Linked DNA regions of Caenorhabditis elegans. The protein of the gene in region 2 purifies or fractionates together with the protein of the main gene of each other region. This does not show direct contact. Each region holds a gene or a part of one and is shown on either strand. Other genes may lie near its edges.

Region 1 (3,133 bases), on a different chromosome or scaffold from region 2:
ATTTGATTGATATATTTGGTTTGGAGAATAAATTTGACTGTTAATTTGAATAACATGGAGAGTTTTGAAAAAACTGCATAGTAGATTCACTGAAAATATAACGAAAAGTTAAGTTATTGATAAAATATGTAATTCAAATTTTGCCAAGAATATTGTCAAAACTCATAACTTTAGGCTCCACTTTTACAGTTTATATCTCGGTTTTTGTTTCTATCAAACAATTGTCAACTGATAAAATATGGGCAAAATATTTTTCTATATTCTGGTTGTTACCATTTTTTAGGAAAAATTAAGACATAGGCCTTCAAAGTAGTGTAGTGGGATGTACGTCTAATAGGGAAAATACGGAATGTTTTAATTATTTGTATTTAGGCATTGTATGGGTTCGAATTTGCAGTGCTCAAATTTACTCAAAAATGTTCTAATCTTAGAAAGTTTGGCTTTTCATCAAAACTTTGGCTGGACATTTGAATAAAATCCCTCACCAATTCCAAGTTCATAATTTTAGATTTCGAAATTCACACTGCGTACTGTAAAATTATGCAAAATAGTCTTGGACGTTTCTATTTTTCTGCAAAAAAAAGAGCAAAAGTTCCGAATACCGTGGCTGCCAATCCATTATCTTTCACTTCATATTTGCTTATCACGTGGCTATCACCACTGATCTCTGTTTGACCTCCCTCCCGCGCGCGCCATTCCTCTCTCGCAAGTGTCCACACACAAGTAACTTCCATTAAACTGTTCAAAAACCACTCAAAACTGCGAAATGAGAAAAAAAATGAAGATGAAGAATGTGTTTAGATATTTGTGTTTGGTATGTGCCCAGTTGAGTAAGTGATTTCCATTCCACGGGTTTGGTTGTTCACACCCACCAACAAGATACATTTGAAATGATCACTGAGCACATTTGTTGGAGTGAGATGCACTGTTTGACAATGGAAACATCATGTGAATGAAAAAGGGAATACCTGGAAAAAACCGACGATTGTTGTTCCGAGGGTTGAGTCAACAGAAACGTGGAAAAGTGGTTTTTTGTCTGGAGCTGTCAAATAACAATTATTTTCTAAAAAAAAAAGCGAACGGAATAAGTTTTGTCTGGGGTATAACGATTGAATTTTTGAATTGTTAACACATATTACAGATAAAAAGAATGTCTCCTAAACCAACAAAAAAGGCCTCTTAAAATCGCCTCTTGCATATTATCGTATTTTTAATAAACAAAAGTTGGAACGAGTAGGCAATAAGCACAGGTAGACAATGATTTCACAATAACCGAAAACTTCAAGTTTTTATAGAATTATCAGTAGTTGTAGGTCGCATTAAATAGCAAAGATTTAATGCGACCTACAACTACTATTATCAATACAAATTTGAAATTTAATTTTAAAAATTTCCCCGTGATATATATATTTTTTCAAACAATTTGGAAACGTGAGAAAAACATTTATTTAAATAAAAAAATATATATTTTCCTCTTCCCTGATTCATAATTCATATTTGAATCATTTCAATTTTTACAAAAGTCAAGAAACACCTGTCCAAATGGAAGCTATCTTGAAATCAATAATGTTACTCAAGTATCTTCAATTCATCATCATTTTTTGTAGTGGACTTTGCATGGCTTTGGTAATTTGTGTGAGTTTTACTTAATTTCAGCATTGCAGGTTTAGCATTGCATATTTTGAATATCTAGGTATTTGAAATTAAAAACGTTGCGTGGACGGTTTGAGTTCTATTTTCAGATAATTGCGGGAAGCTTGTCATTAAAAAAGCTCCCGCGCAGGGACCTTGGGAGCATTTGATTATATGATAAGCCAAAAAAAGGTTGTTGAGAAACTTAAATTATATATGAAAATACTTTCATAATTAATGTATTTTCTCTTTAGTCTTGCTTCCATCCACTCAATTTTAACTGCTTATATTGGACCTTTTTGGTTAAAAAAAAAGGTAAATTTTGAAATATTTTCAGACAAAGGCAAAATCTGGAAAAGGAACGAATACAGCGAAAAGCAGCGGTGGCAATAATGGGACAAATCTGAATGCCAAAAGATCTAACACTACTCAAGGTTTGTTTGAAGTTTCACGATTATTCAAATTCAAAAATATTCAGATGATGTCAAATTCAATTTGAATATCAAAAACACGGAGCAAAAGCGGGATGAGTTTGATGATGACGAAGAGAATCCACTCGCAAAGATTCCGACAAAGGCAAGATTGCCGAAGAAGGTTAGTGGGTTACTGTAGGGGGTGCTCCTTTGAAGCTGAACTATTTGAAAACAAGGATTTAGTGGTACTGTACCGTATTTTTTCCGAAATGTTTTCAACTTGCGATTAAATCTCAACATATCTTCAGGATACTCTGTCAAAAACATCTTCGAACTCAAAAATGGATCGTGAAGCTTCATATTTTGCGCCAAACGAAAAGCAGACTGGAAAATCCTGTTATGTAAATTCAATTCTCCAAATTAAAAACTAAAAATTACTTTTAGATGAGTACCGCCATGTCGACAACCAAGACCACAACCTGATCTCCACTGAGCTACAAATTAACCTGTTCTTCTAGATTATAAATTTTGACGCTTTGTTTTGTTTTGTTAACACATCTGTTAAAGTCAAAGTTTTTTTCGTGAAGAGTTGAAGTTGGTATGATTTAGAAAAAAAGAAATATAAAGTACATGAAAAAAAGGAAAAAAGAGTTAAAGAAAGAAATATGTATGCGAAATGAATGGAGAAATGAGGAGAAGAAACCCATACCGGAGGTACGAAAGGATGATATTCTGAAGAAAATGAAGGAAAAGGGGTTGAACATGGAAATGGAAAGGATTAACAATAATAGAAAAATATATGTTTAAGATTTTTCTGAAGGAGATCTCACTAGAAACAAAAAAAGGGGAATTCTTTAAATTTCAAAGAAACCGAAGAAATCACAAGTTCGTAAGAGGTGGTGACTTTCAGAGACAGCTCTGAAAAGTTTTGTGAATATAATTGGGGGATGATGGGAACCCGTAGATCATAAGTGTGTGAGAGAAAGATGAAGAGACATGTTTTAAGGTGGGGAAGGAAAGAATCAAGAGAAAAACGATTAAAGCAGTTCATCGCCAGACACCGGTGTCAACTCGTTTGGTGAAGTTCG
Region 2 (6,821 bases):
ACAGAAAGAGAACCCGCACCGCCTTCGTCTTCAAATACCTACAATCACAAAGAAAGCCACGTGGCTCCCTATATATCAAGTAGTGGAAATAAAAACAAAGATTCTGAGGAGAAGTATGGATTGGCACTTAGCGAAAGCTCCGACGAAGATGACTAATTTTAAAACATAATATTATTCAGTGTATTCAACCGTCTTTCTTGTGTACTTGTACTAGTGGTGGCAGTTATTTGCTTCTGTGATTTTTTATTTATTTCAAAACCGGGCTATCTATCGCAATCATAAATTTTTTCATTCAGGCTATTCAACAGTTTTATTTTTTCAGGTTTTCTGTTTAATCCGTGCACTATTTTAAAGTCGAACTAAAGTTTCTCTGAAATTTTTAAAATTCGCTGAAACCATTTTATCAATAGAGCATGCTTCTTGCGCTAAACAGTGTCGTTTGTAGACGTCGATTTTATCTTCAAATTTCTGTGTTTTTCTCACATATTGTTCATGATTTCAGATGGAAACTCACCGGTATATTCCAGAACATGCCGTCCCAATGCCGATTTCAGCGCTATTCAATTCAACAAAAGAACGAATCGAGTACGGAACGGCAGACGTTGTTCGCGTTCAAGTGATGGGTGTAATCGAATCTGTGAAGTTCGGAGATTCTGATGTAGAATACATGATTACTGATAAAGATAATCATAATATTTTGGTTCAAAAAATCCTCACCGTTAGTCTGAATATATCGTGTAACATTGGAAAAAAGTATTAATTTCAGGCTTCTTTCACCGAAGAATCTGCCAAGAAGTTCAACGTCGGGGACCGTGTTGAAGTATTCGGAAAAGTTCGAATTTTGGAGAATGGAAAGAAGTTTTTGAACGCATTTTCGATGCACAAAGCTTCAGATGAACAATTCGCCGCTTTTCAAATAATCTGCCGTTTTTCAGAGAAGTTCTATAAAAAGGCAAGTTTCAGTGAATTTTTAAAAGCCAATAATTGCCCATTTTCCAGCACACACCTATCTTGCCAGCAGGCGCCAGCACCAATGTTCCTACTCGTTTCGGTTTGAAGAACAAAGTGGGAAGTTTGAATCGGTTCCCAATGGGAATGCTGGAACAATCATCTTCTTGCGAAAATAATATGGGAGTGTGGCCAACGGAAATTGAACAATTGGCAGCAGGAATATCGACAAGTGGACTTGTTAAAGAAGAATCAGATGTATCTGAGGATAGCAGTGATGATTCGGATGAAGAGGATGAGGAGGAAGAAGAAGAAGATGATGAGGAAGATTCATTTGATAAAGGACCAGTGAGCCTTGTGCCAATGGCTCGAAAGGAGAAGCCAAAAGAGGAGCCGGAACCAGAATATGATTCCTTCGAAAACGCCTGAATTTATAATATTCAGCTTAATTTTATTTTATCGTGTTCAATTTTCACTTATAGACATCTTGCCTTGTCTTTCATTCCACAATCTGTTTTATAAACTTTTATTTCTTTTTTTTTAAATAATTTCAATTTCTAATATGTTCCCTTAAAGGTTTTAAACCTTTTTTCATATCTTCAGTCGGCGGCACACGGTAATTGCCATTTTCCCAATATTCTTTCTAATGAAATTTCAGTATTCTACAACTAAATTTTAATGAAAGAAATTGGTAGAACATTTTATAATAAAAAACGCTTGAAATAAGCAAAATGAAACTAAGAAACTTCTATTTTTCACCAAAAAATTGATTTTTTAGTAATTCATCGAAAAAAAAATGGTTTCAGGCCTGGTCAATCCCCTATACCAATTAAATCTAAAATGCAATCAATCAATCTTCCTGTGGATCATTCCAAGATTGATGCTAACTTTGAAGGATACAAAGTTTCCATGAATAATGTGCACTTTTCGAGCAAAAGCCTGGATCAAAATTGTAATAAAAATCATTTAAATTTTCCATTTTTCGCAAAAAATAATTTTCAGTATGTCTTCGTGCTCCATCCAATGAAATGATTACTCTGCAACATATGAAAGTGTTCTCAAATGATAATCAGCTGTTTTGTGATTATTCGAAATGCACGGATTCCCAACAATTTTTGTATCGTATTTTAGACACCGGGCATATTCAGGCAATGGTTTATGAGAAAAAGGTACATAATTTTACTGTGAATGAGGGTTTCGCTTCAAAAATACTTAACGAATAAACTTAATTGTTTCTTTTCAAAAAATTAAATAAATAATTTCAGACCCAAATATGGAATACCTCGATCGTTGGCTCCATTGATGTTGGGACAAATGCCTCTTCCGCTTTTCCTACTAATCTCTTGTTCACTGAAAACAATCTGGTCGTCGCTTGCAATGGAATTTCTGAAATTACAGTTTTCCTGGCTGTCTCTGACTCAAATTGGGTTAAAATGCTGGAGCATAAGGTTTCAGAGCAAGGTCTTTCACTGATTGAAGCTCGAATTTTAAATGGAAAACTTAATATTTTGGCATATCACGTGGAAAGTGATGATTCCAAAAAGACCAGAAGCAGAATTCACTCGATTCGTATTAATTTGGATGGTTTGTATAATTAAATTTTGAAAAGTAAAAAATTTCCTTCTTTTTTTCCAGATATAGACTATGCTGATAGCCTTACAGTTGAGAAATCAATGGATTTAATTCAAAATGGACACTTTGAGGTTAATTTTTTGAAAATATCAGCGAGGTGCAAAATTTTGCAATGTATCCGGTCTCGACACGCTTTTGCTGTGAAGTAAAAACTGGCGCGCGCCTTTAAAGAGTACTGTAGATTCAAACTTATTTTTAATAGTTTATTTTTATAATTTGTGTGTTTTAATTGTTTTATTCTAGTTGTTTAATAAATATATATTTTTTAACGAAAAACTATTTAGAAAATTGATGAAAATTCGAATTTTTATCGATTTTGTAAATAATTTTCGTTAAAAATGTATATTTTCTTTAAAAAACTAAAATACAACAAGTTACAACACATAAATTTCAGCAATTCGTGAGAGAAACTATTATAAAATAAAGTTATAGAATACAGTAATCTTTAAAGGTGCACCTTCTAATATTTTGTTTTATCGTGTTGAGACCCGGTACAGTACTTTTGGTGCAACCTTTCGTGTGTAATATCCTAACCTTAAATTTATTTTTCCAGACTTGTACATTCACAAATAACGGCGAAATAATATTTCTATCGAGCGAAAAACCCCACGTGGAAGGGCAACAGGAAGATATGGAAGAAAAAGGTTTTTTTCAAATTTAAATAAATAAAAATAATAAAAAAATAATTTGTTGCAATACTACTTTGAAATTTTGAAAAAAAAGAACAACATAATTATTTTTGATCTACCATTTTCTTTTCAAATTTGTTCTACCGATTTTTTTAAATTTTCCCCGCCAAAAATGTTCCTTGTTTTTTTGTTTTCTCATCCATTCCCAATTGTGTGGCTAAAAGTCATTCATTCTTTCCATTGGTTCGACGCGAGCTCCACTCAAAGCCCCAATTTCTCTACAATGTTGAATATCTCTGGAATGAAACATTCGGAAGACGGCGCTATGAAGCACGAAATGGAAGTTCATTCAGCGACATCTGGACAATCCAAGCCGAAGCCTACAATCGAGGAGCAGTCTAGATATCTAGTTGATATCAAGCAGTTAATCACTCCATTCGACGGAGATGCTTCGAATTATCTGTTATTCAAGAGTACCTTCGACTACTTGGTGCACAATAACCATTTTCTGGAAATCAACATGAAGAATGTGGCTCTGGTTAATGCTCTCACAGGGGATGCCAAGCAATTTATTGTGACATCGAATATCATGGAGATGGGCTACAAATTGACACTTGAGAATTTGGAATGGACTTTCAATCGACCAGGATTCCAAATGAGACTTCATAGTGAAATGCTGGAGCGCATCAAGTTCGATGAAAATGATTATTCTCAAATGGAAACTGCCTTGATCAAGTATTGTTCAATCGCACGCGAGATACAACTATGGTGTGGACAGCTATTTACACTTTTTGGATTTCATCGACGCATTACCGGATGTGATCGGGCGCAAAGTAACGAAGAAGCTCATGGAGGACGACGGAGCAACCTTTGATTCGCTGAGCAAGGTGGCTTTCGAGAAGATCTATTGTCTGAAGTATCAGGAAAGTAGAAGAGAGATGGAGCTCAATAGATAATTTTAACCTTCATTGTTAGTATACATAGATGTTCAAGTTTTACCCTTTTTATTATATTTAAAATCTATTCTAAAATTATATTGTATTTATATGGTCTAAGTGATTTATGACCGAATATCACATGTATCCAATAAATCGATGAATAGAAAAAAATATGTTGTGCTTCTTGGCTTTCTGAAAATGTGATCTGAAAAACAATTTGGCTTCTTCCATGAGAGCTGGGCTCCGCAGTTTGTTTCCTATATCCATAATTTGCTAACGCGCCTGAATGGAGGGTTTTCCGCGAAATGCAGCAATTTTTGCGCTACAAGTACGGTATCCGGTATCGACACGACAATTTTTGTTATTGAGGAAAGGCATGTGCCTTTAAAGAGTACTATATTTTCGAACTTTTTAAAAAAATGTTTCGATAAAAAAAAATGTTGTTAATTTTTATTTCAAACGGTGAATAACACAATAAGCACATAAATTTAAAATTCCACAGCAATGAGAGATTACAGTACTCTTTAAAGGCGCACACCCGTTTCTATCTAACAAATAATTATCGTGTCGAGACCGGGTACCGTATTTTTGGCGCGCAAATTTCGCTTTTTTCCGACCAAAAAAGCATTTCTGGATTGCAAAAAATTAATTTTCTGAATTTTCAGTGGAACATTCATGGGAACAAACTGGGAATATTATCCAAGTGGCATTCAAATTGAAATCTGAAATTTCAAAAGAAGACGTTAAAATCGACACAACCAAAACAGGAATTCGTTTGATTGTCAAAGATCTGACCCTTCTCAGTGGAAAACTTAGTGGAGAAATTGATGAAAATGATGTGGAAATTTGTGCGGATCAAAAGACGAATTCGTCAGTTTTTTTGATATTAAGAGTGAAAAAATAACTCAAAATGAGCTATTTAGAAAGACTTCAGATTTCAGATTTTTTTAAAAATTTTCGGCCAAAAATTTGATAATGTGCCAAAGTTTTGGTATATGACCAAGCATTTTATCAAGTTTTCAAAATTTAAAAAAAATTCAATTTTTTTTGGAAATTGATATTTAAAAAATTAGTAGCAGAAAATTTTTTTGCCAAATTTAAGAAAATTTTTTATAAAAAGAAGTATTCTCCAATTTTTGGCTGAAGTTTTCAACATATTCATATTCATATACTGCCAAAATTTTGTTAAATTGCCAAAATGAGCACATAAATTTCAATAAATACATTACAGATTGAAACTGAAACTAAAGTCAATCGATGATAAGAAATGGGAGAAGCTGATTTCTGTGGAATATGATACTCTGAAATCATTGGAAGATTCAGAAATCAAGAGAACAATGAAAGGAGAACAAGTAATTGAAAGTGATGAGCCAATGGAAGAATGTGATGAGACTGAAGGATCTATGGCTTTTTATTGGGTTGATCAGGAGTCTGGAAAAGTTTTGAAACAGGTATTTGCCAACCATTTTTTAAAGAAAATTTTGTGAGAAACTAATGATTTTCTAGAAAATTTTATTCAAGAATCTAAGAAATCCAAAAAAATAATTTCTAGATATCTTTCTTTTTGAATCAACTGAATTTCAGTGCGATGTTTCTGGAAGTCAGGTTCTTTTTACATCACGTCAATCCTCCACCTCTCCTGCTCTCATTTGTCTTCGTCACGACGTTGACGGTCTTCTGTGGTCTTTCGACGAATCTGCACCCAGCCACGTGGCAACTCTTCAAGCTTTTGGATACGTTCAAGCTTCGAAGACAAGCCGTCTCTGGTCCGGATGCTCACCAAACAAGTCTTTGGCGTGTATTGTAGAAGGAAATAATCGAGTTCTGCTTTACTCGCAAAAAGTTGAAGTTTCTGGAAGTAAGTTTTCTGTCAAAATTTAAATGTATGTATGTAATTTTTTTCAGGTCTGAGCAATCGAAAAACATCGCAAACAGTGAGCCACGTTTCAAAACAACACTTGCTCCGCGTCGAGTGCTCTGATCCGATTCGTGGAGTCCAGCTTACCGATACCCATCTTTTCGCCGCCACAAAATCGCATATTCACGTGGCAGAGCTAAATCTCTAATGTATTTTCTTGTTAAAGTATCTAAACGGTTCCTGGTTGATTAAATATTTTATTTATTAAAAACTCTTGAACTCTCTTCACAAAGAACATAAAATATTTATCGCTGAAGAACATCAAACATGACTTTTTAAAAAGTTGAATACAAAATAATAAACTATTGCGGTGGTCCTCCTGCCAGGAACAAGTTGACATCGTCAATCGGAGCTCCAGTTACATCGCAGAATTCTGCAACATCTTCACATGGGAGAATATTTGAGTCAAAGTCATCCACGAATCCACGTGTCTTGTTGATAGTCTCTACAAGATGCTCACGGAGCCATTCGAGACGATCCTCTCCAGTAATCTGAATAGATGTATAAATAAGAAACCATAATAGATCACAGGTCTTCTCACCTTGATAACCTTATTGAAATATGCATCTACAAATGCCCATGTCATTAGTGTTGGCTTGAATCCATCCCACGTGGCGGGTGCTCCATTTGTCTGAGCATCATTAATTCCTGCTCGGAGTACATCATTCCTCTGATCATTCCAACTATCAGCAGTTAGCTCGGTGAAGAGGAACGCAATGAGACGATGATTCGGAGCAGAGATTTCAAGTTCTGCGT

The links. Proteins that work in one complex are often made in the same cells at the same time.
Region 1: the proteins of C44E4.5 (region 2) and ZC21.8 fractionate together in Caenorhabditis elegans (co-fractionation; one large-scale study listed by BioGRID). This does not show direct contact.

The regions. Positions count from the first base shown.
Region 1 is NC_003281.10:8,518,355-8,521,487, reverse strand, and holds ZC21.8 (uncharacterized protein), read left to right. Parts: upstream 1-1,501; 5' UTR 1,502-1,542; coding exon 1,543-1,635; intron 1,636-1,969; coding exon 1,970-2,066; intron 2,067-2,110; coding exon 2,111-2,226; intron 2,227-2,353; coding exon 2,354-2,446; intron 2,447-2,489; coding exon 2,490-2,528; 3' UTR 2,529-2,584; downstream 2,585-3,133. Other genes in the region: GTPase-activating protein pac-1, read right to left, coding at 3,083-3,133.
Region 2 is NC_003279.8:4,603,901-4,610,721, forward strand, and holds C44E4.5 (NudC domain-containing protein 1), read left to right. Parts: upstream 1-1,754; 5' UTR 1,755-1,788; coding exon 1,789-1,900; intron 1,901-1,950; coding exon 1,951-2,117; intron 2,118-2,213; coding exon 2,214-2,532; intron 2,533-2,583; coding exon 2,584-2,651; intron 2,652-3,133; coding exon 3,134-3,224; intron 3,225-4,812; coding exon 4,813-5,017; intron 5,018-5,378; coding exon 5,379-5,598; intron 5,599-5,731; coding exon 5,732-6,005; intron 6,006-6,052; coding exon 6,053-6,213; 3' UTR 6,214-6,321; downstream 6,322-6,821. Other genes in the region: eaf-1 (Ell-associated factor Eaf), read left to right, coding at 1-156; D1007.8 (Nucleic acid-binding, OB-fold protein), read left to right, coding at 503-718, 767-952, 1,000-1,377; ubr-4 (UBR-type domain-containing protein), read right to left, coding at 6,368-6,556, 6,607-6,821.